Linked DNA regions of Danio rerio. The protein of the gene in region 1 interacts with the protein of each later gene in a pairwise test. Links are inferred from orthologs where the notes say so. Each region holds a gene or a part of one and is shown on either strand. Other genes may lie near its edges. The genes, in order: srfa and elk4.

Evidence for each region.
Region 2: the proteins of srfa (region 1) and elk4 interact in a two-hybrid assay, tested with the Homo sapiens proteins (2 studies listed by BioGRID and IntAct). The link is inferred for Danio rerio from reciprocal best matches to the Homo sapiens genes SRF and ELK4.

The regions. Positions count from the first base shown.
Region 1 is NC_133197.1:37,088,299-37,104,891, forward strand, and holds the start of srfa (serum response factor a), read left to right. Parts: upstream 1-8,826; 5' UTR 8,827-9,149; coding exon 9,150-9,599; intron 9,600-16,593. Other genes in the region: si:ch73-173h19.3 (uncharacterized protein LOC563864 precursor), read left to right, coding at 2,378-2,539. UniProt on the Homo sapiens protein: SRF is a transcription factor that binds to the serum response element (SRE), a short sequence of dyad symmetry located 300 bp to the 5' of the site of transcription initiation of some genes (such as FOS).
Region 2 is NC_133186.1:40,883,236-40,899,140, reverse strand, and holds part of elk4 (ETS domain-containing protein Elk-4), read left to right. Parts: intron 1-2,164; 5' UTR 2,165-2,256; coding exon 2,257-2,463; intron 2,464-8,825; coding exon 8,826-9,527; coding exon of another isoform or gene 9,528-9,614; exon of another isoform or gene 9,615-9,682; intron 9,683-12,450; coding exon 12,451-12,654; intron 12,655-15,563; coding exon 15,564-15,680; intron 15,681-15,905. UniProt on the Homo sapiens protein: Involved in both transcriptional activation and repression. Interaction with SIRT7 leads to recruitment and stabilization of SIRT7 at promoters, followed by deacetylation of histone H3 at 'Lys-18' (H3K18Ac) and subsequent transcription repression.

The DNA.
Region 1 (16,593 bases):
CACAAAATGTGTTTTTTTGCAAACTTTAGATCATTATTTAAAACATAGACATGCAGCAAATGAAAAAAATAAATAGAGAGAGTAAGCAACACCCTTGCACTTTCTATACATTTGGATGCAATGTGAACAGACCATAAACAACAATAGGGGACATCCTGGAGATCCTCTTCTTGCTTCTTAGCATGTGGCTGTTTGTCACAAGAAGAACCAAGCTTTGTTTGAGCTCGGGTTGACCATGGTTCATTGCTGTGCACTATCATTGTATTACTACGATGATTTGTTTCAGCTGTGTATTTAAAAATGAAGCTTCCTGTGTTGTAGTTCCCCTGACTTGTTGTATGCACAAGTGATGGTTCTCTGTTAACTTGTATAAGTTGTGTAAGTCTGTGCATTCAACAGCGAGTCTTGCTTCACCCTTTTGGTACTATACTATTATGCTAGGTATCCTTGCGAAGTGGTTCTGTTCACTATTTTGATACCTTTTATCATGGAAACTGAAATAATTAGGTACTGTACTGTAGGAAACCGTACTGCTCAGTGGAAAATGAGCCATTAGGAACTGTCTTGATTAAGGGTGCTTTTACACTAGCACTTTTGGTCCGCACCCGGGTTCGTTTGACATCAGAGTACAGTACGTTTAGCTAGTGTTAACTAGTTCTTCGGAACTTGGGTGCGCAGCCACGAACCGAATCACAGACATGCACACACACAGACACACAAATCGATGTTACGAAAACAAAACAGTTGGCGGTTCACTTCCATTATTTGGTACAATTGCATTTTATACCAGAAGTGAACCTGACCAGTGTTCGGTGGACTCAGGTACGGTTCACGAGTGTGCACCCAAGTTCAGAAGACACATTTACACTAGCTAAAGTGTAATGTCAAATCGCCACAGCCATATCACCCTGCAGCCCAAGACCGGTTACGCACTGAAGCTAAGCAGGGCTGAGCCTGGTCAGTACCTGGATGGGAGACCACTAGGGAACACTAGGTTGCTGTTGGAAGTGGTGTTAGTGAGGCCAGCAGGGGGCGCTCAACCTGTGGTCTATGTGAGTCCTAATGCCCTAGTAAAAGTGAAGAGGATACTACACTGTCAGTGAGCGCCGTCTTTCGGATGAGACGTTAAACCGAGGTCCTGTCTCTCTGTGGTCATTAAAAATCCCATGGCACTTCTCGTGAAAGAGCAGGGGTGTAACCCCGTTGTCCTGGCCAAAGTCCCTCTATCGGCCCATACGATCATGGTCTCCCAATCATCCCCTTCCACCGAATTGGCTCGATCACTGTCTCTCCACTCCACCAATAGCTGGTGTGTGGTGAGCGCACTGACGCCGTTGTCCTGTGGCTGCCATTGCATCATCCAAGTGGATGCTGCACACCGGTGGTGGTGTGAAGAGACCCCCCTCATGATTGTGAAGCGCTTTGGGTGTATGGCCGTATACATTAAATGCGCTATGTAAATACACATTACATTACATTTACATTACAAATAAACCCGGGCGTGAACCAAATGTGCTAGTCTGAAAGCATTCCCAATCTTTCATTGTTCTTTTTTCTGTTCCTGCTGTAACACCTTAATTTTCCTGAAGAATCTTCAAAGGAAGTATAAGTTAAAGATGAATGCCAAGGTGCCAAATAAAAGCCTTTGCTGTCACTGACCAAGAGCTGATTATTCTTAATCAATACTCTTCCTTTTTGGCATTTTTCTGTAAAATACATAAAAATAAATTGTTACAACAGTTAAACTTGACAATATAACTGTAAGAATGTTAAAACTGATAAGACACTTACCTCACTTTTTCCATACTGATTTAGTGCCAACCAGCCCTACATTTAAAGTGTTTATGGGTTTAATGATAATAGAGTTGAAGATCAGTAAAAATAGATTAATAATAATAATAAAGGCACCTTCAGCACTGCTCAGCACCATATTATTTGGAGTCAGCATTCTTGTGTTTTTTGCCAAGAAAAAAATTTCTGTAAAAGACAAAATTTTTTAGAGTTCTCAAACTTGACAACATAACGGCAACTATAATAAAAAATAACAGAGACTGTAATAGATACTTACCTATGTTTGAACCCTGCAATAATTTTCCCAAACAGATTTAGCATCAGCTGGAAGGGTATCTGTAGAGTAATTGGGGGTTCATTCACCTGTGGTGACCCCTGATAAATCAAGTCAAGGGATTGTGAGTTAGATTTAGCATCTGCTTTGCTACAATTTAAATTTTGTTGTTGAAAGTTAGAGTTGAAGATTGGTCTGAATGTATAATAGCGCCCTTAGTAGTGTCCAACAAAGGATTATTTGCTGTCAGTATTCTTGTGTTTTTATCAAGGAAAATATAGTTTAGTGATTGGTTTCTCTTTTGTCTTTCAGCGCTCCAGCAATGTAAGTGCCATGTTGGTAATGACCAAACCCTTGACTGGACCTCGAGAACATGTTGTGGATCTGGAGATGGTCACCCAAAGTAATGTCTTGTCCTACCGTTCAAGCTCTCTGCTGAGACTCACCATTGTTGTGGGTCCATACCCTTTCTAAATCCTCTAGATTGATCAAATCAGCACTTTGGATTTATGTATGTACTGCAGCTTACTGTGTTCAAAATGTTCATCAAAGCATGGTCCCCTGTTTGTCCAGATCAGTGGTTCTTACCTGGTTGGTTGCAAAGCGATAAATGGTTCAGAAACTTATTAATAGACTTTTAGAGGTTTTATAAAAATAAATATTTTGTAAGATACGCCATATGTTGACAATTTTTATACTGTGTTGGGTCGCCATTTAATATCCAATGACCTGAACCTTCCTGGGAACTGCTGGTCTAGATAGTCACATTTTTATTACAAACAGGAATCAGTTTACTAATCATCAAAAAAGTGGGTTTTCAGGTTTGTTGACGTTTCTAAGTCATTTATATTTGGTCTGACTGGGTGATGTGAGGCCCTTGAATATCTGAAGAACAACACTACTGGTGACCAGAAAGAAACACAATTACAAAGTTTTACTCTGAATAGCACTTATAGGTTCTTTGTCTTGGTAGTAAGAGTTTTGAAAGATCCTCCTGCATTGGATGCTTGTTTTAAAAGGGTGGTTTATCCAAAAAGTTAGCCTGTCATCATTTAATCACCATATGTTATACAAAGCTCTTATAATTCCTTTTGCATCTAAAACTGAGGTGAAGTGTGTCCGTTTGCATACAGTGAATGTCAGGCAGATCCTATTGAGTTACAAAAACAAAACGCATAAAAAAAACCAGTCTACACTACTCAAATTTTTAGAACAGACAATAAAATCAACATGGGTTCATTCTGAAAACGTAGCTCTATATACGTTTCTATAGAATTATGTAGCCAGAGGAACGTATGGCTGCATTTCGTTTTTAAAACCAACGCTACGGTGCCGTTTCTTTTCTCGCTTACAGCTGACTGCTTACCTTTGTATGGATGCTTGTCCAGTTACCAGTTTGTCCAGTTAGCTTGCCATGTACGTCGGTGGACTTAGGACACAGAGAGGAGTTGACCACGACGACAGGGTTTGAGTCCGGTGAAGAAGCTCTCAAAGCTCTAAAATTTCACTGACATGAAATCTACATATTCAAACTGATACACCACAACTGGTTGAATGCCACATCAAACAGTCAATAATTTAGGTTTGTTAAGTGCAGTTACATTAACATTTTTAAAGGACAGTAGCATATAGATGTATGAACTAACAGATGTCACTTTCAAAGAAATCAGCGAATAATGAGTGCAGAGCTTTTTTAATTTCCGGATTCTGCTTGACAACTGTGCGTTCACATTGAAAATCAATCCATGGGAACACTGAAGCACTCTCTGTAACACAAAACTATCAAATAGCTACAGAAGGCTTACAATAACATACAAAAAGTAGTGGAAAGAGTAATGAAAAATCATACCATTACTTGCCTAAAATGTAGTGCAAGTAGAGTATAAGTATCTGTTTTCAATATTACTCAAAGTATGAGTAAAAATTAGACCTTTCAAAAGTACTCAAGAGTAGAGAATGGTGAAATGCTGATGCATTTACATGTAATTTTTGGATGTGTGTGTAAACGTAACATTCTGTAGTGCATTTAGTTATCGCCCAGCAGGCACATCAACATCATAAGACGTTAATATTAGGTTGTAATGTCAGGTGACCAAAATTCAATGTTTAGCCAGCGTCTAAGGACAACGGTATATGATGCCCAATAACAACTTTAAATGACGCTGAAATTTTGGTTGATTTTAAGTTGTGTTAGAAAGTGACCAAAATCCATTATCGAGCTGACATCTTAAACCAACATATGGATGTCAAATACTGACATTTACTCGTCAGGTATGGAAGCCAAAATACAACATCTGATAGAAGTCAAAGCGGTAACGTCCACACAACGTGAAACTGTAACATCATTAGACGTTACGATTTGGTTGCTTTTAGATTGGACATTGACAACGTCGGCCTGACGTTGGGTTCTGATATCAACCCGAGGTTCATTTCCAAACAAAATGCAAAGTCCCCTTGACGTTGGGGTACCCTTGACTTGTGCCTGCTGGGTGTTTACGTCCATTTTGGTTATCACAGTAATCCTCCGTCATCTTCTCATCAGTGACATGCATCTTAACAAGCTCTAGGTCAATGCATGTGAAGATTTTGGACATCTTTATAGACACTTTTAATGCTTCTTAACAGTTTGCTGCGATTATAAAGCACTCACGTCTTAAGGTAGTTCATTATGATGCGATTTACCTTCTATGTGTGATTTGATTGGACTTACAGGACTGATTTTTCTAAACCCCATAGACAAGAAAAAATAAAGTAGTGACTCAAGTTGAAAGAAAGTGCAGTGATACAGCACTAAAAATGTACTCAAAAGTACACATTTATAAAACTACTTAGTAAATTACAATTTCTGAGAAAAACTACTCAATTACAGGAGTTTAAGTATTCTTAATTAGTCACTTTACACCACTGCATATAAGTGACATGGACCTCTTTTATGGTGCATTTTAAGTAGACGTTGCTTTCTTGCGTCAAACATATGACAGATTTTCGTTTTTGAATAAGCCAAACTTTTAACCTGCCAATAAGTCAACGCTTTTACATTGCTCATACATGGAACATGGAGAAGCAAAATGTACTTTAGTGCTTATAGATTTCTTACATTTTAGCCAGGGAAAAGTGTTTTATTGGTGGAACATGTGGATAAGGCAAACAGAACTGCATAGGGTTAGGTGGAACAGTTTGTGTTGTAATCTAATGGCATCCTTAGCTAATGGAAATCTCTGATGCGTCCTCCGCCTTGCGAATACTCCAGAAATGACCTCCTATCCTATGAGAATAAGGCAATAATGTTTTGGAAACAGAAGTGATGTTTTCAGGAAATTGCTGGCAAGGGTTTTGGGTCGCATAAGCAATGGAACTCTTGCCTAACATGTCTGTATGTTTGCCAGAGCAGCGTTTGATCTTCTGCAGTGTTTCGTGTTGATGGTCTGTGACAAACACTGTTACTTAAACCGTTGCGTCACGCTCGGCGTCCCCAGGGACATGGTGGTGGGTGAAGCCAAAATGGTTCGTGCACCACCATGTTATATGCAATTATTTGGCGAGCGATCTCTGCATCGAGACTTCGTATTGCAACTTAATATGCTTACAAATCAAATCTGTATGTTTTCTAATCAGTGACTTTGATTCAGTGAGTTTGAATGCTCCCTGTTCATTCTCTTATTGAGATCATCTAAATTGATGTGGACTGGTTGTTCCTGCTCACTGAAGACAACCAATGTCTAAAAAATGGATTTGAATCTTACGTTCAGGAATAATCTGTATTGTTTATCAGTATGCTCTCAAGTTGCACTGTTTTTACTTATTCATAGTGCCATTTATTCTGCTGTAAAGTGTTTTGGAAATAAATATAAATTCAAAAACTGTCGTTTTGTTTTGCTTATTACTTTGCTTAACACATCTATATATTTCCAGATGTGCATCAAAACAAATGTAGCACATGTAATGCTCATGTTCTCAAATCTAATCTTCTGCTAGTATTGCATAACGTGCATGGGTCAGTTTGGTATATTCCTGGAACAGTTTAAGAGGACCACCAAGATTCATCTGCAGTTATTACCTCCTGCGGTTGCAGATGGGAATATGTAACTATGTGATGTTGTCATGACAATAGTTGAGCAGTTCCTGTAAGAATATTTACACACTAATAGCCAAGTGGCTTACAGAAAACATGTGAGCATTACATGAACTGAGTTTTTGCTTAGACCTTTTTTATAATTAAAGAAACGTGGAGTAAACATGAACGCATACACAAAATATTTAACATTATGACTGGAAATTGAATGTTGATCTTTTTGAGAACCTGTTGTTAATGGATAAAATGAATATTTTATTAGGACGCCACCTTTCTGATGGTTTTATACGAGTACTGAAAGGTTGTATGTATCAGAACCAAAGACTTTTGAGACACTTCCATATTTGAGTACTATGCCACCTCACATACACTACCCTCGCTCCAACTGTATTTTAAGTGGAACGTTTCAGTATTGACTTGTCCCAAGCTCTAATACTGATTATATCAAAAAATAGTTTTGGTTAAAGGGTTTGCTAATGTAATATCTAAAATTGATCACATATTCATCACAGCAGAAATTACACTGAAATTAGGTAATAAAGGGGACGACACTGTGGCGCAGTGGGTATGTCACCTCACAGCAAGGATGTTGCTGGTTTGAGCCCCAGCTTGGCCAGTTGACATTTCTGTGTGGAGTTTGCATGTTCTCCCAGTGTTTGCGTGGGCTACAGTCCAAAGTTCCCACAGCCCAAGCACATGCGCTATAGGTGAATTGAATAAACTAAATTGGTCGTAGTGTATGTATGTGCAGGGGAGAGTGTATGAGTGTTTACAAGTGCTGGGTTGCGGCTGAAAGCGCATCCACTGTGTAATAATATATGCTGGGTAAGTAGGCTGTGGCGACCTCTGATTAATAAAGGGGCTAAGCCGAAAAGTAAATGAATGGATGAAAATGACAAAGAGGTGACTTGTCCAATTTAACACAGTACTCAATTTCAGGTTTGGTTTTACTATGAGTGATTGTGACTGGGTTCGAACCAAAGACATTTGAGAAACATCGCTTTTTCAGTTTAGTATTGGATTAAAATCATTTTATTAACTCATCCCAATTCAAAATATTTAAAACATAGCTATTATAAGGGCAGCGTTGTTAGTTGTTCTCTGTTTAACGCTTTAAATGCCCCACCATGAAAAAATTGGAATTTCATTTAAGTCCTAATGTCGCTAGTTAACATACTCAATGCATTTTTTTTCAACACATCCCATAATTTCTAAAATATCCACCTCAACCAAATTGTTTATATGTCGATTTATGGTTAAAATACCAAAATTATTACATATACTATAAAAAATCTGAAAATATGAAGTGTAAAGCCAATCTATATTTAAAAAAAATGTATGTATATATATATATATATATATATATATATATATATATATATATATATATATATATATATATATATATATATATATAAACTAAATCATCTTTATTTTTTGAAGTATACCATAAAGTATTTCAGATTCTCATTTAACATGTTTTGTTGTTGTTTTACTATAAAACCAAAATCAAGTGTAGTAGTGCAACAGGATTATTTGTTTGATTTTTTTGTAAACCTACAATGCTGTGTGTGTAAACCATCATTTAAAACAGTCAAACTGTAAATTAGTTTAACAGTCATTATTTAAAACAGTTAAATTATGGTCAACTATTTGGTAAAGCAGGCAGTTAAAGAGTTAAGGAGTTTATTATTTGTATATCTATCATGGAAGAAATTACACGCAAGTAATTATTTTTATTTGTAAGTTGATCAGTGGAAAGAAATGCCAAAATAGTTTGTTGTGAGGTTGGATAGCTTACAAAGGTGTTTGAGAAACATATTTGAGCACTATGTTACCTCAAATACATATTACTTGAGTATAACTTGTTTAAATGTACTTTTTAAACTTCTAAAACGGCGATTCTTTAGCAACAACATTGAGCCTTTTCTACATTTAAAAGGTTTGCTAATACGTTTATTTTATTTATTACATTATTTTTATTTGTAAGTGTGATATGGATGAAAAAGCCAAACGACTTAATGTTATATCTCCCAATATATAACGTAACAGCTTCATCTGCTGGTAAAACGGAGTAGCGCATCATTTGCACAGCTCCCACAGAGCTGAATTTGACGAGTTTGCCCTAAATTTAAATTAAGCGGTCACGCTGTCAACTTATATTAGGTTTTAAAACTCAATCAAGTACATTTGATTTACCTTTTCTCATATTTCTCCTCAAAAACGCGGCGTTTTGTCGTTATATATTACTATTCAGTTCTGAGGTAAAACACATTTGCTAGCTAGTTCGTTGTGTATGACGTAAATCATTTGTGTCAGCCAAATGACACATGAGCCAATCGCAGGGTCGGAGAGGTTTGCGTAACCAATCGCAGCGCAGCACTGTGACTCACCATACATGGACAGCCATCACCATATAAGGAAACATCGACTCGCTTTATATGGAGGAAAGTAGATCTATAGACGAACGTCTCGTGAGTTAAATTCTCAAAATAAGCAATATTTTACTAATTATTTTCCCCAGAAAACGTTAAACTTAATATTTGACCAAAATAGTGCTTTTTATGAGCTAATAACGTATTATCTAAAACAATACCGACCTTTAAGCAGAGAACTATTTTTAAAGGCGGAGCTGCATTGCGCGGTCGCGATTCGTCGTTTCCAAATGTGGCAAGCGCAGCGTAAGTTCAGTCGAGGTTTGATTGATGGACTGTAGGCGGAAACTATATGTTGTAAACTTTGTACGGTGGTCGTAAAGGGCTAGTTTTGCAGGTTTATTTCTGTCGTTTACGAGACCCTCAAATCCTGACTTTCATACTGAAACAAATCCATCCGTAACCAGAAATAGCGCTTGCCTGCTTTAAGTTGTCCGCTGAGTTGAGCTAATGTTTCTTAGCCTAGCATATGTGAGGTAAGTTCGGTTTTGGGTCTGGATTTGATCTGGGATCTGCTGCACAGATCGCTAACTTTACACCCACCGCAGACCGCCGTAGTGCCGCTTGCAGGTCAGCGATGTTAGGGGGCAACGGGACGGCCAGAGGGGCTGGACGCTCTGGTAATGGCACGGGATTGACACCTCTACAGGTGGGCAGCACATCTGGGGCTCTGGGGGCTGTAAACTCTGTCATAAACCTGCCCGATGGGGGCAGATACGACGACGGGCCGTCGGTCGAGGCTGTGCTGAGCGGCTCCGATGGAGACTCAGACTCCGGGGACGATGAAGAGAGCCCTGTGCCGGACAGGAGAGGGGTGAAGCGGGAGAGGAGCGAGCTGGAGGTCGGGGGATCTTCTGGATCTAACGCCGCACTCTCGGCAGGATACGGAGGGGTCTCCAGCGGGGTGGCCGGAGCGAAGCCCGGCAAGAAAACGCGAGGACGGGTGAAAATTAAGATGGAGTTTATTGACAACAAGCTGAGGAGATACACGACCTTCAGCAAGAGAAAGACTGGCATCATGAAGAAGGTATGTTCATGTGTCTTCTGCTGTTAGTCTGGAACTGATTGTACCACTGCTGTTCTACTGCTGTACTGATGCTAGTTTTACACCAGTGCTAAACATCTATGCTAATATTAGCACTACAACTACTAGTAGTGCCATGCCAATACGTTCTTCAGTAACTGGTACTCTAGTAAACTTTAGTATTTACCTCATTGTGCTTTGTTTAATTCTGTATAAATAATAGTACCACTAACATTACTATATTCAGGATTCCCACTGGTCATGGAATTGTAAAAGCTCTATCCCACATCCTGTAAGTCAGGGAATTGTATACATTTTTTGGTAACACTTTAGGTTATTACATATTTATAATTATGACATTGGTTGTTTTTTAGTAGTTATAAAGTATCGTTTTATTCAACATCCTTAAACCTACCAATACCTAAACCATAGCTCTCAAACTCAATTCCTGGAGGGCCACAGCTCTCAGTTTTGCTTCAACCGTAATCAAACACAACTTATTCAACTAATCAAGGTATTACTACTAGTAGAGACTATTAAGTAGGTGAGCTAGAGATGGTTGGAGCTAAACTGTGCAGAGCTGGGGCCCTCCAGGAATTGGGTTTGAGACCTCTGACCTAAAGCCAACTTCTTACTAACAGTTAATTAGCAGCAAATTAGTACCTTAGTGAGAAAAAAGTCTTAGTTAATGGTTTGTTTATAACAATAATTGTACCTTAAAATAAAGTGTAACCATTTTTATTGGCCCAAGTCATTGAATAACAGGGATTGTTGTTGTATTTCTTATTTCTTTACATTTATAATTTGTTTTTCAAAGTCAAATTATATTCTTCTCCCGCTTGTCAGCTGGCATAAGTCCTAGGGTGCTATCACACCTGCCTTATTTAGTTCGGTTGAATCGCACTAGAGTTCGTTTTCCCTCTTGGTGCGGTTCGTTTGGGCAGGTGTGAATCTAACAATCGTACTCGAGTGCGCACCAAAAGCGGACTAAAAAAGCATAGCAAGACCCCTTAGAGGAGGTGATCTCGGTACGCTTACAAACATGGCAAATTAATTCTTAGTATTATAAATATTTATTATTGTCTGCCACATAATAAAAAGTTTGAACAATAACACACTTACAGGTAAAAAAAAGATAAATAAAACATCAACGTTTTAATTAAAATGTAATTTTAAAAGTTTTTACTTGAATAATTCAGCGATTCCTCCGCGTACCACTAGAAGGAAGTCCGCGTACCACTTGAAGGAAGCCAGTGCATTGATAATGACCAAAAACACATTGAATGAGCAATTTTACCCAATAAATGCATCAATAATATCCACTGATTTTTAGATATTCAATTAAGTGAACTTAAACGATTAGAATGGCAACAAATATTTAGTTGAACCCAAACTACAAAAAAAAAACATTTAAAATAATTTTAAACTAGTTTTAAACTAGTGGGGTTTTGAAATCAATTAATGCAAATAATCGAAATAACTGTAAAGCCGTGATTATTTCTAAGACTATAAGCGTACAACCAAAATTTATAATCGTTGCATCCCTATTTTCAACTGGTTCAGATTAAAGCAATCAATTTGGTGTGAAAACGGCCCAAAAACGGCAGAAAATGCTACAATGTGTCATTTGTTGCCCTTGGTCCGGACCAAATGACCGAACTACAGATGTAAAACCACCCTTATGCACATAAGTCAAAATGCAATCCCCAGGCTTTACCTGTTAAATACTGTCTATATTTTGTGTCTGCCCAGTGCTCAACCCAACAGAAGGTATAATAAACCTTAAAGACGTCACAGAAATCAAGCATTTTGCTATTTAGTCAGTAAAATTTACATATTTTGACATTTGGTTTAGACTGGGAGCCCTGTATATGATACTAAATCTATAGAAATAGTTCCACTTGATTGATCCTAGAGCTACAGTAGAGATGCTAGCTTAGATAGTTTAAATTAATACATATTCTAACACTTCACAAAAACTCTACCACTAAATGTAAAAATACTTCATTTAAAACATTAATAATATTAGTGTCAATGGTTTGAACTCATGAAACTGATTCTATTATTGTAAAATAACAGTGTAAATTACAACATTGATGTTAATTCTATTGAAGTAGTAGTATCACTAGATTATATTGTAAAATTTCAGATACTAACTCTTTTTAAGTACCAGTATTTGCTTAAAATCATACTGCTGAGAAATACCTTTCTTAAATCTCAAAATCAAAGTTGTAGGCTTTAAAAAGTCTCAAATTTACTGAAATATTGTGTTGTAGGTCTTAAATCTTTTTTTAAACAGGTCTTAATTTTCATTTGTTCATGTATTGCTATCCAATCTGGCCAAAACCCATAAAATCACCAACAATCCATCTCAACTTTAAACTTTTTTTTTATTATTATTTAAAAGTTAATTTTTAACTCTGTTTATCATAATGGTTTAATTATTTTCCTTGTAATAACATTTGTTTAGAAGTGGTCCATGTATTTACTGTTGAGGACACTGACCTGGACAGGTTGTTGTGCATAGATTAGGTTTGTTATAGTTTTTAAAACTTTTAAAACATTTGTTCATTTTTTTTATTTTAAAGAAAGTTTATGTTGGAAAAAAAACTTGTATGGATACAAGTAGAGCTTGCTTAATTTTACACAATATTTAAAATATTTTACTTATAAATATCTAAAATATTTGAATTCTTTATTATTTGTTTATTATTGTACTATTGAATGCATCAAATTATTATAATTTCTTTTGATAGGGCAAATAAAAATCTTTTCCATCTGAGCCATTTGTAAATTTCCTTAGCCTTTAGCTCTTTATGAGTCTAAAATTTCATTCATACTGGTCCTGAAATATCTTAATGTCTTAAATTTAACTTGGTGAAACCTGCAGAAACCCTGATATTAGTAAATCAGTTCTAATACTCAAAGTACTCAACTAATGTTTAATATTTATGTTGATTTTAACACGGTGGTAATATTAGTATCTCTTTTCCTAATGCTATGTCACTACTAGTTATTTATAATGGTGTTTTACCAATGCTTGTACCTTTTACACTGTTTGAGGTATAGGTTCTGAATCATGCTTGTTTACTTATGTTATATACGCTGACTGTACCATGCTACTTACATGACATTTGTGTTTAAATGTGTTTTACTGCTCCTGCTAAACCATGATACGCAAGCACTGTTGTTGGTGTTATAATTACCACCCACTCATGTTCTGTAATACTGCAAGCAATTTTATAATTTGCATTATTAGTGGTATATGCTGAGATAATTCAATATACTGAAGATAGTAGTTTTATTATTAATGCTGCCATACTACTTTTGTAGTTCTACCACCAGTAATTTACAAATCAACATTGTATGGCCACAACCATATCATCTTGCAACCCAAGACTGCTTACTCACTGAAGCTAAGCAGGGCTGAGCCTGATCAGTATCTAGATGGGAGACCACAAGGGAAAACTAGGTTGCTGTTGAAGTGGTGAGGCCAGCAGGGGGCGCTTAGTCACTTTTGTGTGAGTCCTAATGCCCCAGTATAGTAATGGCAACGCTATGCTGTCAGTATGCGCCATTTTTCGGATGAGATGTTAAACCGAGGTTTTGACTTTGTGGTTATTAAAATCCCATGGCACTTCTCGTAAAGAGTAGGGGTGGCCAAATTCCCTCCATCAGCCCTGATCCTGCATAGCCTCCCAATCATCCCCATTCACCAATTTGGCTCTATCGTATATATACCAATTGCTAGTGTGAGGTGAGCGCACTGGCGCCGTTGTCCTGTGTAGGGCTGCACGATTAATCGAAAAAAGATCACGATCTCGATTCGACCCTACACACGATCTTAATTCAGCTTTTCTACGATTCAGTCAATTATATTTTCAAGGTCAGGAGAGAAGCTTAAAGGCGGCCGCACAGGTCCTTACAGGAACATGAACACCTTCAAATGGCGTTAAAAGTGTCACATACTGTATTTATAAGGTATAATTCACCCAGAAATGTCATTTCTGTCTCATGTAAGGATTTATTTGCGACAAAATCACATGTGAGCTGACCACGAGTCACTGAGAGAGCGTGCACGTAGCACGCCAATGACGGCTACTTTAGTGAACAGAACCTGCATATGCTGTGAATAACAAGTTATAAAGTTGTAAATAACGTTCAGTTTGTTGCACAGTGATCGTTTGAGAGCCGCGTTGAAAGAATGATTTGCATGTGTGTGTGTTTTATCACAGTGATGGCAGCCATGAGCCGCACTGGAAAGTGAAAGTGAAACCTGTGCGCACATCATTTAAATGATCATAACGCATTTTACAGTTATAATTACGACAAGCATTTGATGTGTTTTTTTTTCTTTCATAGCTAACAGTGTTGTGCATGAAAATAAATGTTTTACAGTGTCAGTATAGCTACTCTAGCTTATATTATGTTGAATATAATGCAAAAATGTCTGTGAAATGTCTGATTTTACCAGTGAAGACAAATGGTCTAATGATGCTGACAATGACAGATGACAAGCACGTCTTAAACATAATAATTCAACTTTATAATTATGAATAGTTGTATTCTGATGTGGGCGAGGCAGTGGCGCAGTATGTAGTGCTGTCGCCTCACAGCAAGAAGGTCGCTGGTTCGAACCTTGGCTCAGTTGGCCTTTCTGTGTGGAGTTTGCATGTTCTCCCTGCCTTCGTGTGGGTTTCCTCCAGGTGCTCCGGTTTCCCCCACAGTCCAAAGACATGCGGTACAGATGAATTGGGTAGGCTAAATTGTCCATAATGTATGAGTGTGTGTGTGAATGTGTGTGTGTGAATGTTTCCCAGAGATGGGTTGAGCCTGGAAGAGCATCCGCTGCAAAAAAAAAAAAACTTGCTGGATAAGTTGGCGGTTCATTCCGCTGTGGCGACCCCGGATTAATAAAGGGACTAAGCCGACAAGAAAATGAATAATGAATGTATTCTGATCTCATCATTTTACTGTGAATTATCAACCAGGACATAAGCCGCACTGGAAAGTGAAAGTGAAACCTGTGCATACATCATTTAAATGATCATAACACATTTTACAGTTATAAATACGACAAGCATTTGATGTGTTTTTTTTTTCTTTCATAGCTAACAGTGTTGTGCATGAAAATAAATGTTTTACAGTGTCAGTACAGCTACTCTAGCTTATATAATGTTGAATGTAATGCAAAACTGTCTGTTACCAGTAAAAAAAAATGGTCTGATGACGCTGACAATGACAAATGACAAACACATGTCTTAAACATAATAATTCAACTTTATAATTATGAATAGTTGTATTCTGATGTCATCATTTTACTGTGAATTATCAACCAGGACATAATGAAAGTCTGTTCAAGTCCACCATAATGACTACAAAATTGAGAATTTTAAGCAACAGTAGAGCTACACACAGGCCTAATATTATTAGTGTTGTTTTACCATATCATCGCTTTAGAATTATAAGGTTCTATCTGACATTTTTGTCAAAATTTAGTTATTGACATATTAAATGACAACTTATTGTTTACATTTTAAGACTTTAAAAAAAATGTTCCACACATACTGTTTGTGTTATGGATTGCAAAAACTTTGAAGCTCAATATGTCAAAATCATTCAGAACGCAGAGAGAACCTTATGATTTCAAGGTAATAAGGGGGGGTTTCCTCTTTTCCTCTTTTTTTCTGCTTTTAAATTGGTTATAAATGCGTGCATATAATACTTTCACTTTCAGTTTTGCGGGAATTGCCAACATGTGCTGCATAAGGGCGCTATATTACACAGAATACACTGGCAAGATTAAGTGGGACCAGTTTTATTTGTTTTGTTATTAACGTGTTGTTCTATTTAAAATGCCTTTTATTTGTAAAATCTCTCAAGTTAATATTGGCCATCTGGTAACATAATCTCCCTTAGAGATATTGGAGTTCAATAACGTGGTGCATAGTATGACTATTGACCAACAGCTCACTGTAAGTTTACACACTGCATAGACTACAGCTCTGAAATCCTACATCAGTTTGGCCAACCCCAAACACCTTTAGCTCTTTAGATAGATTTTTTTTTCTTCTGCTTGACTTGTTTTAACTTCAGTCAATAATACTGATTGGTACAGCCCAAGACATGACAAAAATTTATCGTTTTCATCAGCAATAAATTGCAAAAATGCAAGTTTTGTACATTTGGCATCGTTTCCATATTGCCACCAAATAGGCAGATTAATGATAATTCGAACACTAGTGCTTATTGTAGTTGTATAGTACTTTATTCTGCTTTTTTACCTCTAATAATTATTACTAATGACTGTTAGTAACTTCAGTATCTATTATTGCATCATACTAATACAGTTCAGTTCTTGTTATTGTCTAATTGTTTCATTAACAGTACTATAAGGGGCAATATCATCCTGCTAATATTGGATCATTACCCTATTAATGTACTTATTGTGCAATGCAAGCTGTATTACTGTCACTGAAGTTCTTACTATACCAATGCTAATGCTAAACACTATGCTTTCACCATTATTGTACTCTAATAAATACCACTGAATTAATACTAGCACTAGTAGTTTTACTGTAACAATAGCAAAACCAGGTAACATGCTTGCATCTTTCACTTCTGCCGGATTTTATGCTACTTTACTACTGCTTATACCACACAGCAGTTAGTGTAACACACAGAGCCGCTCATTAGCATGTACTCAAACCGCCTGCTCATTTCGACTCAGTCAGAACCACATCTACGTTCTCTGAGGTTTGACCGATTTGACGGTTTCCTAGTTAAAGGTAGTTTCCACATCTGCTCTGACTCATTTGTCATTGCTCGCTCAATTGTCATTCATTCCTGTCTCTGCAGAAATAGCCCTGATCAGGTTACCGCTGCCCTAGACATTGACAGTACATTTGCATATCTTGAGATCCAACCCAGTTGCAGACGTCGAGCAGAAACCTAACCTTCAGATGCATGCGATTGGGTTATTTAGCCCCTGTGTATT
Region 2 (15,905 bases), on another chromosome or scaffold:
ACCAACAACCAAATGTGCGGCTAATTAAATATGCACAAGTATGACGTTTACAGTATGCAATCACCATCATCATGCAACAGGCCACAATTTTAGGTTTATTAGGTTTCTCTTAACCTGAACTCTTTGTGTAGTGTAAAATTCCCAGACCTCATCTCCCACAGTCTGAGGAAAGCTGTCACGTCTCGCCTCTGTGTTTCTATATTTGCGTTCTGTTCTGTCAGATTGTATGTGGGAGACTTTTTTTCAGTCTTTGGCAACTACCAGCTGGGTATCGGATGAGTCAAGGCAGATTTAGTTTTAATTTAAGCTGCTTAGTTACACACACACATTGCCGGCCTGTAGTCTCCACATCGACAGGATTACACTGAAGACCAGTACCATTTGGTACTTAATAGAGTATGAATGTTTTTTTTGTTGTTGTAGCTGTTGTGCTGGGCACAGATTAATCACGAATAATCCAAAATAAAGGTTTGCATATACACCATATGTGTGTGTGTGCTCTGTGTATTTATAATGTATATAATAAATACACACATGCATGTATATGTTTGAGAAAATGTTTATATTTGGATAAAAAAATGTGTGTATGATACATTTTAAATATCTATGTAAATAGCTTTATTTTTATGTATAAGTGTGTATTACTATACATAATGCATATATATCAACCCAGGCTCATTCTGGAAACGTAGCTCCACGGACGTTACTAGAGACCGTGAAATACGTTCCTGGAGGTACGTATTTGTGCAGTTTTTGTTTTCGCTAATCTGCGAGAGGCCGCTGTGCACGCTTTTTTGCATCTCGAACGCATCTCGCAAGCGCGCCGTTCGCGCCCGCACTGTTCTTGAGTAAAAAGCCGCCGGAGGCCGCTGTCGAGCGACCGTTTGTCCGACTGACTGACTGAACGATTGACTGGGTGGCCGGCCAGTTGGCCGACCCAGCAACCCTCCTCCTCCTCCTTCCCTAAACCAAAGGGACGATTTACAAAAGCCGCCCAGAAAAAGAAAAGCCCCTGTCTGATTTTGACCGCATTTTGTTCGCTTTATTTTTTGGATTCTGTTTTTTGTCTTACCTGATTTCTTGAACCGCTCTTCCCCGCACTTGAACCCGGTCGTCGCCGCGTCTGGCTCCTCCTTCGGGCCTCCACTCCGTCGACATAACACACCGAGCTAACCGGACAAACTGGTTGCGGCGGGAAAGCCCTCCACACAGAGGAGGTGTGCCGTCAGCCGGCGAGTGTGAAGAGCGGCGTCACACCGCTTTGTAGCGTTCGCTTCACAAAACGAAATGCAGCCATACGTACCTCCTGCCCATAAATCGCGGTTTCCAGAAACGTCCGCGGGGCTACATTTTCAGATTCAGTTTGGGTGGATATATATAATAATTACATAAAAAAACTATTTATTTTGGATGCAATTAATCATTTAAATTGAAATAAATTACCTGAGTTTAACATGCAATCTTACTATACAGAGTTAATGAACAAAATTCATATATTGATCTTATAATTTTACGTTTTTTTAGGCCACATTAATGTTAACATTTTAAATGGCATATTAGGTCTTCAATGAACAGCTACAGAAAATATAACAATCTGAATATTCTTAAAATACACTCTAAAATTGAAATAATGAATTATCCATGGTGTATTCAAGTGCCTCAATATCAGTATTGGTCATGTTCATTATTATGATTTATTCAATTATAAAATATACATTATTTATTTTTACATTATGTGTTTTTTTACATTATACTATACAAGTTGAATATTATAATGAGAAAATGTCAGTTTGTAACATCAATCAGCTTATAGAGCTGTTATTAATGTGTAAACATCTTTGGAAGTGAATGAGACCGGAAGTGTTTAGCCAAAACAATCCCACTCATATGTGAAGAATTAGGTCAATAACGATGGTTTGTTTTGTAGACAATTGGAAAAAAAATATTGCTTAATAATAATGACCTTAAAATGTAAAAAAAAAAAAATCAAAAACTGCTTTTATTCTAGCCAAAATAAAACAAATAAGACTTTCTCCAAAAGAAAAAAGAAAATAGGAAATACTGTAAAAATTCCTTACTCTGTTAAACAGCATTTGGGAAATATTTGAAACACACAAAAAACTGTATGTCTGTTTCTGATTTGATTGCATCTCCATCCTTTTAGCCTCCTTCAAGATATTTTTAGGAATATGCCGTGAAATGTCAGCCAGCCTGTGAGCGTGATCAGGATCCTGAAGGTATCGTATCGAGAAGGACATGGACAGCTCTGTGACACTCTGGCAGTTCCTGCTGCAGCTCCTGCTGGACCCAGGGAATGAGCAGCTCATCTGCTGGACCAATGAGGATGGAGAGTTCAAGCTGCTGCAGGCGGAAGAAGTGGCCAGATTATGGGGAGCCCGCAAGAACAAACCCAGCATGAACTACGACAAGCTCAGCCGGGCCCTGCGCTACTACTATGACAAGGTGTGTGATGTTGTCTTTGTTATCATTTGCGCACTCTCATTTGGATCATATTAGTTATTGGTAGGCCATATTGGAATCTGCATGCTTCGAAATCCACAGATCTTTGAGTCTACTTGTTTACTTGTGTAAATGTGTGTAAATTTATATTTATTCAGTTTTTGAATTAATTTCTGTTATATTATTGACTAATATGAAATTGTTCATATGATTTATTTACAATACTGTTTGTAAAGTTTTTTCTCTGTACTTTTAGAGAGATGTATTATGAACATCTCGTTTTAGTAGATGTATTATAAATAAAAGATACTTGCTTTGTTTACCAAATAAGTGGATGTAATTGGATTTGCATTGTAAGCATTAAAAAAAAGTTAAAAGGTATTATATTTTATATATCAAGTTTTTAGTTAAGATACTCCCCAAATCATTCCGTAATCATTCCAAAAATATGCTAATTTTTAATAAAGTTCTCTGCAGAAATAGCAAAAAATGTTTGCAGATTCTGTCTGGCCCTAATTATCGGTCAATGCTATGTGTGTGTGTGTTTTTTAATGAAAAAACGTTTACGTAACATTTTAAATCCAACCATAATATCCCTAGACACACAATTATTATTATTATTATTATTATTATTATTATTATTATTAATGAATTATATTATTATTATTATTTAATTATTATTATTATTATTATTATTATTATTATTAATAATACTAATGAATTATATTATTATTATTTAAATTATTATTATTATTATTATTATTGTTGTATGTAGTTATTATTATTTTTGTTGTTGTTATTGGTGATCATCTTATATAACCTCTGTGATAAGAGAACTGTGTAATAACATAATAATGCATTAGAAAACATGAACTAAAATTAAATAATATATATTTACAGCATTTATTATTCTTTCTGGATGTTAATAAAAAAATCTTATAATGTTTTGTTCATGTTTATTCACAAAGTATTAACTAATGTTAACATACAACTTTATATTTTTGCGAACTATTAGTTAATGTTGTAACTAACAAACTAAAATCATGGTAACACAATGAATGAATATTATATTTAATTATTTAAATTTTATCTAATTTTCTTAATTTAATTACAAAATCTTCATTTTTATTCGCTACTTGTTTCATTGTAACTTGTTACATTGTTTAAGTATTACATACATACTGTAAACTTATATGTAAGTCATAACAACAAATGTTTTTATGTTTGTTAAACTAATTTTAAACGTAAATTTAAATTAAATATTTAAAGTTATAGAAATTTTAACTTAATTTTTTCAGTTTGTTTAACTGATGTGAGTTGAGATGACAAGAAAAGTTCAGTTGATTCAACTAAAAAATATAGGCAGCAAGATTTTTTTACAGTGATTATATATTACTATTATATATGCATATGTTATATTCAAACTATTGATAATAAATACTAATTTATTGAGAATTGTTATTATTATTTTTGCTATTATTATTTATTATTATTAGTAGTAGTAGTAATATTAATAATGTTATTATTATTTGTCCATGTTTCATTCTGGCTGTAATTTGTTAAGAAAAATGTATATTTAGTGTTGTGATTTATTAGATATTATCTTATAATTAATTGGGGTTGATATTGTTTGATTTTAAATTATTAGGCATTAGGGATGTAACAATATTGTAAGTACTGTAATACCGCAATAAAAAAATTTTCAATAATACCGTAGGCGCATGACTCAATAAAACTTTATTTCTGAGAAAAGTTTGCTTAGGCGAATGAAGCAAATGGGAGGTAGCAGGAACTACAATTTCCATCAGCCTAGGCGTGGCCATCATCCTTTATGGTCTGTTCTCACTACAGATCCAGTATAATGCGGAAATGGAGTGTGCTGCTAGTAGTGGGGAAGAAAAAGAGCTGGAAATGATCGAACCTAAAGCAGGTTTTAAATCGAATGTGTGGAAGCATTTCGGGTTCTTTCTAAAAAGATACAAAAAAAGGAGAAAAGGTGACAGACAAAGAAAAACGGTATGCAGGCACTGCCAGACTGTGGTGAAATATAAGTTGGGGAATACGACTAAAAACAGTCATGGGGACTGCAGAACACAGCACACTTGTTAGATTGATGTAGACATTGACTTGTACGGCAAAGAGACCTCTATCTCACTCATGGCTTGTCCTCTCAAGTGGTGGAAAGACGATGCACAACGTTACCCACTGCTGTCAACCTTGGCTAAATCATATCTCTCTGTCCCAGAAACCTCAGTCCCAAATGAGAATGTTTTTTTTTTCTGTTGCAGGGGACATGCCCAGAGATCCCAGCTTTTACCAGATTATAGTTATATGATAATTTTTCTTAAAAAAAAACCCCATCTCTATCTAAGTGAGTGAGTGATTAAATTTGTGATTGTGATGAGTTTTTTCTGTCTTATTTCTCACAATACTAAATTGAAACTTTTTTTTTTTTTTACATGGTTTAATAGTTTTTTGTTATCAAAATTGAAAAAGTTCCGGTTTCTAAACTTACAGGTAGATGGCTAATTTGTATGTCATTAATATGTTCAGTGCTAAGGTAAATAAACACTTTTGGCACTTTTTTCGGGTCTTTTCATTAGTTTTGTTTTCCTGTAAATTATTCAATAAATACCGTACCGTGCCATTCATAACGAGATATTACCGTACCATGAAATTCTGATACCGTTACATCCCTATTAGGCATTTATTATTAGTTATTAGGTATTAATGTTCTATTGCAAAATAATTGAGTTTGTAATGACCGTTTTCCTTACCATTATTCTTTATCCAGGTTATCCATTTTCTTTTATTATATATTATTTGTTTTTGTAAAATTAAGGTACGTTCACATAGGCTGGGTTAAACAGCTTGTATTCTGTTATTTTAAAACCTGCAAGTTACCATGTCACACAAAATAAATATTTAAATTATAAACTAAATTAAGCACTCAAACACTTGTTATAAGCTGTTAAATAAGTACATATGTTTTATTTATTTATTTTTTGGGGTGTGCTAATCCCCATAGGCTTTAGAGATTTACCAGGCTAATTCTGTTGTGTCTGTATATTTAAATCAGTGTTTATCATAATTGCTAGCGTTCAGGCCTCTCATCCCCCCCACACTCTTCTCCATCAGTAAGTTGTTTTGTTGCTGTAAACACACAATCAAATACATCTGAACTGCAAGAAGAGGGTCACAGATCCCGTTAGCACAGTGAGGAAGTCATGGCCTCTCGCTAGGGGTTTATTCTTGAGTGCCAACCGCGTGTTTGAGGGTTTGGCACTTGCGTTTTAAGCTTCATCTTGGCACCACAGGGCACGAGGTATCGTTTACTGAATTCTTGCTGGGCTCTTTCACTTAATTGCATGTTATTTTGTTGGAGAGGGTACAAGAATGCAACTGACTGGCTGGTAAAATGTACATGTGAGGGACGTTTTGGTTGATTTGTTTGGGTTTTGACAATATTTTTGGATGCATGTAGGCGAACGGTCAATCCTAAGCTAAAATTAACATGATTTTTATTTTTCCTCAAATATTTTCATCATCAAAAAAGCAAGCAAACTGAAGATTTTCTTGTGTTTAGCATTGTTAAATGTACACAAAACAAACTTTATTTCACTATAGATCATTTTGAGGGATGCAAACAATAACAATGGTCCTAATGTATTTCCTGTTTTAGATCTTTCATTTACAAAGCTTCTGAGAATCCTGAAAGCTTCATGTTGATACTTTTTTAATGACAGCCATGTTAACATTAGTTGTGACTGAATCACCTCTTATTATACAGTTCTGACGAGCAGGAGCTGTTCATGGACCAATGATATCACCATATTGAAATGGTCTATATACATTTTTATTTATTTAACAACATTTTTTAGAGAGAAAGAGAGTTTTGTTTACATTTACCTTGCATAGTATTATGTGCAAACAATATTAACATATACTTTTATAATAATTTGTGTGAATATAAAAAGATGTATTTATAAAACAAAAAAAATGGATGAACGGCTTTGGATGAGATACGTAAGAAACTAGTCCTACACATAGGTGCAGTTTGATTACATGTGGAATGGCAGCACGGTGGCTCAGTGGTTAGCACTGTTGCCTCACAGCAAGAAGGTCACTGGCTTGAGACCCGGATGAGTCAGTTGGCGTTTTTGTGTGAAGTTTGCAACGTACTGTCTGTCTTAGTCTGTCTTAGGTTATGTATATAGTTAAGTAGTAATTTTTAGTATATGTATAGTTAGATTACCACTTTAGTAAACTCTCAGAAAAATGGTACAATTTTGTACCAAAGGAGGCACAAACCCTTGTCACTGTAGAAGTTCCTATTTATGGAACAGAATTGTACCTTAAGACAAAGAAACAAAATTGTACCATTGCAGTTTGTGCAGGCCCATTCTGAAAACGTAGTTCCATGGACGTTCCTGGAGACCGCGAAATTCCGGGAGGTACTTATTTTTGCAATTTTTGTTTTTGTGAATCCACGAGACGCTGCTGTGTGCGCTTTTTTGCATCTCAAAATGTCTCTCGCTAGTGCCGATCGCGCCTGTGCTGTTCTCACGTAAACCCATCAGAGGCCGCTGTCGACTGACCGTCTGTCTGACTGACTGATTGACTGGGCTACCAGCCAATCGGCTGACCCACCCACCTCCTTCCTTGAACCCAACCAATTTTACCGATTGACCCGCCCACCCGCATACTTCCCTAAACCCAACCAACAAATTACAAAAGCTGTCCAGAAAAAGAAAAGCCCTCGTCTGATTTTTACCACGTTTTCAGATTTTACCACATTTTTACCCTGTTCTGAACTTGCTCACTTTATTTTTTGGATGCTGTTTTTGTCTGATATGATTTCTGGAACCGCTCTTCCCTGGACTCAAACCCGGTCGTCGTCGTTGTGGTCAGCTCTCCTCTGCATCTCAAGTCTGTCGATGTACACAATGAGCTAACTGGACAAACTGGTTGTGGCAGGAAAGCCCTCCACGCGGAGGTAATCGGTCAGCCAGTAAGCGTAAAAAGGACTGGCGTCATACCTCCCCGTAGTGTTCGCTGAAAAAATGAAATGCAGCCATACGTACCTCCGGCTACATAATTCGCGGTCTCCAGAAACGTCCACGGCACTACGTTATCATAATGAGCCTGGGTTGAGTTTGTACCTTTTAAGGACATGATCTGTACCATGGGAAACCAAAATGTACCTTAGGATTTTAAAACCTGCAGATACAATATTGTATTTTCATCAAAGGTACAAATCTGATCCATGAAGGTACCACTACAGTGACAAGACACTTTGTACCTTAACAGTGTCAAATGTGTTCCTTCAAGAACTATTTAAGGGCGTTTTGCTTTATCCAAAATGGGTCAATTTATGTTCAGTAATTATGAAACATCAAATACATTTTTTTAAAAACGTTTCTACACCTTTTCCATTTACAATTAAGAGTAAAAACTACTTTAACATAAATCAAAAGATCTATTTTTTGCTAAACTTTTCACAAAAATGTTACAGAAATACATTCTCCCATCTTTAATATTAAACAGTTTTTCTCCAATTTTCACACAACACCTTTGTGATCACTTAATTTACTTAATTTTTAAATAGAAATAGAATTATGCAAAAGTATTGTGACGAGATATGACCAGTGTTTGAGCTTTACAATACTAAAATGTCTGCATGAACACTTTACATATGCAGAACTTTTGAAAGCTCATGTGCGTAGTGGAAAGCAAACGCCAAAAGGTGCGGATATCAATAATGAAAATGTATTTATCAGAAAATGCTTATAATGTTTATTAAAAATGCCTTAAATGTTTAGTTTACATTACCTATATTTTTGTTTTACCAGTTGTTTTGTATTATAGAACTTAATGGTGAATGTTTATGAGTTTCTTTAAACGTATGCTTTTAAATGATGATTCATGTTTTAAGATGGAAATTATTCATAAAATCACTTTGCCTTTCCAGTAATATTTAGATTCATAGATATTGTAATAACGGAGGAGTACCTTTTTAATGAGAACAGCTGTGTACTTTTATTTTAATTGTACCATAAAAGGTACAGAGCATTCTCATAAGAGGTATTTTCTGAACTATATAAGGTACAATTTTTACAAAGGTAAATGTTAGCTATGCATAGGTTATATGTAATAGCTCCTACGTCCAGTGTTGTGTTCATATTTATGATTATGTATTTTTATGCAGCACCGTGGTCCTGTGAGACACAACATTTCATTCCGCTGTATGTCAGCACATGTAGCGTAATGTAAATAAAGCGTGACTTGAGTTTTTATAATATTTTTATGTGCATGCCAAAAAATGTTAGTCATCAGCTAATGTTTTTTCCCATCCTTTCATGCAGAACATCATCAAAAAAGTCAACGGCCAGAAGTTTGTCTATCGTTTCGTGTCGTACCCTGACATCCTAAAAGGAGACGTCATGGCCAGGGCCGAGGGTGCAGACGGAGGCTCGAACGGCCCTCTGCCTCTCTCGGACCAACCAACAAACATCTCCAGAGATAAAGACAACAAATCCATCATAGAGCGGGGAGCCGGAACACTGGCTCAGTCTAAATCATCCAGCCGGAATGAATACATCCACTCTGGCCTTTATACATCCTTCACTTTGACCTCTTTGCAATCGGGAACGCAACTTTTTAAAGCCACCAAGAATGAAAACCCAGGAGAAAAGCTAATGGAGAAAAAAAGCACCCAGGATTCACCCCAGCCGTTATCCACAGTTATCAAATTTGGGACCATGCCACAAAAAAGCACCACTGCGTCTGCTATAGGAAGACCTGAACTTCCAGAACAGTCCGCTCAATCACCTCTGGCTGATCCCGAATCCAAACAGACCTCCATCTCCAATACTGTGTGTGCGTTTGTGGAGAAAACGTCTTCAGAGAACGCCATGACAGGCTTCCCTGTGTCCAGCATCTCTCCATCAGTGCTCCATCATTCCTCCCAGTCTCCCTCTTCTTCTCCCATGACAGATTCACAGCAGCTGGTGATTGACAGTGAGATTGAGTCTCTTTCCTCACAGCCTTCAGAGTTACAGCTGCAGGTACGACACTTTCTGATGATGATGATGACCATGTTATACTGTGAGTTGTGCAGTATTGGCTTTGGGAATTTGTGCAATAAAACATAAATAATATTGTATGTACTCTGGTGTGTGTAATACAAAAGGATGTAGTTTTAAAGGCTTTTTAGCCCACACTTGTTTCTTTCTTTATTCATTTATTTATTAAACTAGATTTATTTATTAAACTAGAAACTAGTTTTGGCATACGCTTACACACACTTTCACGCACGCACTTGTACAGCTATTTTTAGGGCAACTTCCCATAGATGTAATGATTTTTTATACTGTAATGACTGTGTATTCTCTCTATCCTACCCCTAATCTCAACCTTCATAGGAAACAATTAGCATTTTTTAGATTTTCAAAATACCTTATTCTTTGTGAGTTATGAGTCTTTTTCCCCATGGGGAGCAAAAAACGTATATAAGCAAAAAAAAAAAAAAAAAAAAAAAATATATATATATATATATATATATATATATATATATATATATATACAACAGTTCTGTCTGGTTCTCGAATCTAATTGGCTGATAGTTGTGATATATTTAAGTAATATCAACACCCGTACAGCCTCTTTACCCTTTGTGTATTACTCCGCCCACATACAGCCAGCAAAAAGCAGACACTACAGATCTAAAGTTTAAAAGATGCATGCTCAGCTGTTTAACTGTCAGCTTATGATTTGAATCCAACATGGAAGAAAGTTGTTCCTCATACAAAAGGGCTTTTAAGACTCTCCATGTTTGATTTTGTTTTTATATACACAATTTTGCCGTCAAACAGTTGTATAAACGCAATATCACACTCGTAGCAGTGCGATATGGCTGTATATCAGCACTTGTTGGGGCACTAAGGCAACGCATGCCTCCCACCAGTGCCGAAATACAGCCATATCGCACTGCTACGAGTGTGATATTGCTCATTTATATATATAAATAAATCACATTCATATACGTGTGTGTGTGTGTATATATTAACGCAAGACTCTTATCGGGCATTTAAAAAAAATATTGTATAATCTATTCTCAAAGTTTGGTTGGGAGCTGGGTCTATTCTACGCAAGATATGATGACTTTCAACTTAATATTTTATCGCAGATGTATACCTGACCAGTGAGCCGTCTGACAAAAAAGTGCCCTTCTGGATCTCTCACTTACTTCAAAGACACTACTGACTACGTTTACATGGACATCAGTAATCTAGTTATTTGCCGTAATAGACAATAATATAGTTAAGGTGTTTACGTGAAGTGCTTTCATGTAACATTTTCCTGTAATTTTGGGTGACTTTAACTGTTGTGCGGCAGTTTTACATTTACTCATAAACATTTTAGTCATCCCCCTTGACTAACTGGGGTTTTAGATGCAAATAAGGAGTAAGGACTGGTGAGGGTGTTATAGTATTTAATAACACATACCAAATGGAAAGAAAATAACTTTCACATTTCACAATGTGTGTGTGTGTGTGTGTGCGTGGTCCTTTACTGACAGCCGCGTCTGTGGATCTTGTCTGAAAATATGGCGAAAAGTCCTACATGACGGTAATAGTTTAATTGGGGTGTTTACTTCAATGATGCCACTAATATATGCATATTCCACGTCTTAATTACATTTCTGTTTATTTCACTTATGACTTTAGTCGAATTAAGGTAATCAAAAAAATCACTGTTTCGATCTTACGTAAAGTTCAAAATTCAAGTTTTACTAAATAAATAGTCAGTAAACAAGTACATCTTATTGAAGATAATTTATTTTCATCACCAATTATCACAGTAGAACAGTTTCTCAAGCAGTTTGTGATGCATTTTGGAAACAGGAGATGAGCCCCTGGTCTAATGCGCTACCTGGCTTGAGAAACCCGTTCTCCAAAACTTATATGTAGTCATTATTCGGGTCGCACACATATTTTAAATGCCTTCGGGAGAATTCAAATGAGCCATTTTGGTCTAGATTAATCTAGATTAATGCCAAGATTACAGTGAGATTAATCTAGATAAAAAAATCTGTGCCCACTTATAATATTTACAGTAGAATAAAACATTTTCCTATACATCAAATACAGGGCTTTCTTAAATTTTAATTCTCCTTTTCTGCAATTTCTGTTTTATTCCAAATGAAATGTTCTGGATTCAGTTAATTTGTTCTGGACTTTATAATGGTTGAACTAAATTGCAATTATCAGGAAGCATGTCCAGTTAATTTAGTCAATACAGTTAGTCATAACACATATTCAGGTTAACAATAATTTATAAAGAGATCAAGATAAAAATGTAATATGTTAATGTAATATAAAAATATATTAAAATGTTTTTATCATATGCATATATAATGTTTGTTGAATGTAGCATGAGTAAGACTTAAATCAGTCAAAATATGAAATTGGGCACACTTTAATGTACAATTCACACTTTTAACAAACCATTGACTAAGACTTTAAGCTCAATACACTACTAATTAGCTGCTTATTAATCGTTATTTAGTAGTTGGGTTTTGGTATTGAGTTGGATTAGGGAATGTAAAATACGATAATACTTTATAAATGCTAATAAACAATTGATATCCTAATAATATGCAGGTAATAAGCGAGTAGTAAATGGTGTGAATAGTTGTGACTTAAACTAAAGTGTTACCATGAATTTAATGATGGTTAAATGCAGAAGGATATAATCTCTCTAAAAAACAAGTTAAACCAGTGTCCACTTTTATTTTCTTACATTTGCTTTTAACCTGTAGATTTATACTAGATTTTGCAGATCTATATTTAAACGATGAGATCAAATTGAATTTTATATGAAGGGATAGTTCACCCAAAAATATCATTTATAAAAACGAGTTAAACCAGTGTGCACTTTTATTTTTTTACATTTGCTTTTAACCTGTCCTTTTTCTCAATTTATCAGGTTCAGCCGTTCTCTGTTTCTAAGGCCACGGTATCATCTTGTGTCCTGCCCGAATCTCCACCCCGCAATATCAGCTCCAAATCGAAGAAACCCAAAGGCCTTGAGTTAATGCCCACGCTGGTGGTTACCAGCTCTGACCTGAGCCCTCTCAATCTGTCCAGCCCGTCCCTCCCGACGGCGTCTCTCACCCCAGCCTTCCTGCAGGTCAGTTCCCTCCTGACCTCCACACTCACGCAACTACAGGCTATTTTCTGCTCCCATTCATCTGATACAGTCATCAGAGCATCAGCAGATTTAGTTTTGGGTCACAGAGGAGGATTGTCTGGTGTATTTGTTGCAGGGCTAACCCAAGCGCAAGGGGGCCGTAAGGGGGATTTTATTACTCGATGCGAACAATATCAATGAATATTCACAGACACACTATAAATCTGAAAAGTGCATTGTCGATTTTATTTCCTTTAGTTGTGTTGCTTACATTATGATATATCTTTGTATAGCCTAATACAATTCTACATTTTATTTTCCAGATATAACTTCCTAGATAATGCGACGTTTTATAGAACTTTTAACCACAAAACTAAACAAATAGACAGAAGATTAATCTGAGATTTAATTAACGTTGACAAAAACAACAACGGCTACTACTGAATAACTACTGAATTATTAACTGAACTATTACTACTGAATTATTAATATTACTGGATAGTAATAATTTTATATTTTTTAGTCACAAGATGCTGCCAAACTGTCAAGAGTAGCGGCAGTAAAGATAAACTACTGCAAAAAAATAGCTTTTCTTATAGAATTTTCTTGTTTCTAGTCCAAGTATCTAAAAAATGTTAAATAAAGAAGCATTTTCTAGACAAATAAATATTTAATAATTAAAAAAAGAAATGATTTATTAAATCTGTAAAAACAAGCTAATTAATCTGCAAATAAGTCAAGTAAAATAATCTTATTTTAAACTGAAAACAATATTATTTTACTTAACCTAATTGGGATACTATTTATATTTGTATAAGTAGTCACCATTATCCATTAAAAATAGAGGAACTATGACGTCAATTTGAATGCAAAAACCTGGAAGCGAGTTAACATTTTAGCAGTTCCGGTTCCCTCGTCCCAAAGTCAACAGGTTTTTTCAAATGGGATTTTTGTTAAATCGCTTACATAAGGTTTGTGGCGAACACAAACTCGAGATACTTTCACGTTTTATTCTACAAAAGTGGTCACCAAACTTATTCCTGGAGGGCCGGAGTTCTGCAGATTTTAGTTCCAACCCTAATCAAACACACCTTATTTAAAAAGACGGTTGCTATCAAGTTGCTTAATGGGACTACAGGTGGTGTTGGAGATATTATACGTCATTGAGCTGAGCTGGTCCGGAGCGCAGCTCGCTTGTGTTAAACATTTGGATTAGTCTGTGATTTAAGTATTTTCTTACATAGTATTTTATAGTTTGTAGTAATTTTCTAATTGGGAATTCATATTGTGTGTAGATAATTCCTTCACTTGTAAGAGCTGTCGAGACATTTATTTGTTGATCATTTATTTTATTCATTCATTCATTTTTCTTTTCGGCTTTGTCCCTTTAATAATCTGGGGTCGCCAGATTCGCATGTCTTTGGATTGTGCAGGAAACCGGAGCTCCCGGAGGAAACCCACGTGAACACAGGGAGAACATGCAAACTCCACACAGAAACACTAACTGACCCAGCCGAGGCTCAAACCAGTGACCTTCTTGCTGTGAGGCGACAGCACTACCTACTGCGCCACTGCATTGCTATATATATATATATATATATATATATATATATATATATATATATATAAATATATATATATATATATATATATATATAAATATATATATATATATATATATATTAATATATATATATATATATATATATATATTAATATATATATATATATATATATATATATATATATTTATTTATATATATATATATATATATATATATATTTATTTATATATATATATATATATATATATATATATATATATATATATATATATATATATATATATATATAAAAACATTTTTTCATTTATTCATTTTCTTGTCGGCTTAGTCCCTTTATTAATCTGAGGTCGCCACAGCAGAATGAACCGCCAACTTATCCAGCATGTTTTTACGCAACGGATGCCCTTCCAGCCACAACCCCTCTTTGGGAAACTTCCACACACACTCATTCACACACACTCATACACTACAGACAATTTAGCCTACCCAATTCACCTGTACCACATGTCTTTGGACTGTGGGGGAAACCAGAGCACCCGGAGGAAACCCACGTGAATGTAGGGAGAACATACAAACTCCACACAGAAACGCCAACTGAGCCACGGCTCGAACCAGCAACCCAGCGTCCTTCTTGCTGTGAGGTTGACAGCACTACCTACTGCGCCACTGCATCGCCTCAGTTAAACACAAAGAAGATATTTAGTAGTAAGATAGAAACCTGTAATCATTGACTTCCATAGTATTTGTTTTCCCTACTATAGAAGTCAATGGTTACAGGTTTTCAGCTTTCTTCAAAATATCTTCAAAAAGGGACTTATAAAGGTTTATAACCAGACAGTAAATAGTGAGTAGATTTTTGGATGAACTATCCCTTTAAGCTGAATTAACAGTTGTTATTTTGAGGCACTAGAGGGCAGTAGTGCACCACTTAAACTACTGAAGCTCAATGATGCTGAAGAGAGACACTCATTGGGTTACATGCTGGCGATCATATGGTGAGCTTTAGCTGGATGCTGCTTTGATGGATCACCTCGTTAAAACTGCACAATCTTTGCATTTACGAGCACTCAAACCCTCGGCCCCAGAGGACCCCCCCCCCCCACAGAGATGAAAGATGAAATATACTATAATTCATATCTATTATTTATGATTTTCATGAAATACAGCACCCTTGCCCTCTGATTAATTCTCACTGCTTCTTAAAGTCTCATTAAGCCACTTTTAATTAAACATTTATATTTCAGGGGTTATGCCTCTTGCAAATGCTTTGTGCCGTGATGCTCGCGCATGTTCTTTAATGAATGCGTGCTGGATGAGTGGAGTAAAAGTTCACATTTGTTGCAGACGCCGCTGCTGCTCACGCCCAGTCCACTTCTGTCGAACATTCATTTCTGGAGCACGCTGAGTCCTGTGGCGCCGCTCAGTCCCGCAAGGAGACAGGGAGCACACAACCTCTTCCAGGTGAGAGTCAGATGATGGTCAAAAACCTACATTTACATTCCCTGATCAAAGCATGAACTAATGTGACATCGAACTAAATTAGCCCAACTCAAAGTTTATTTCGAGCTCAACTATTCTATTGTTTTAAATATGGTTCAACTTTTACATTTACATTCCAATTACATTTATTAATGGTGTTGAAAATTTATGTGGACCTAGACTAGACCCTTGATGTATAATTTATTT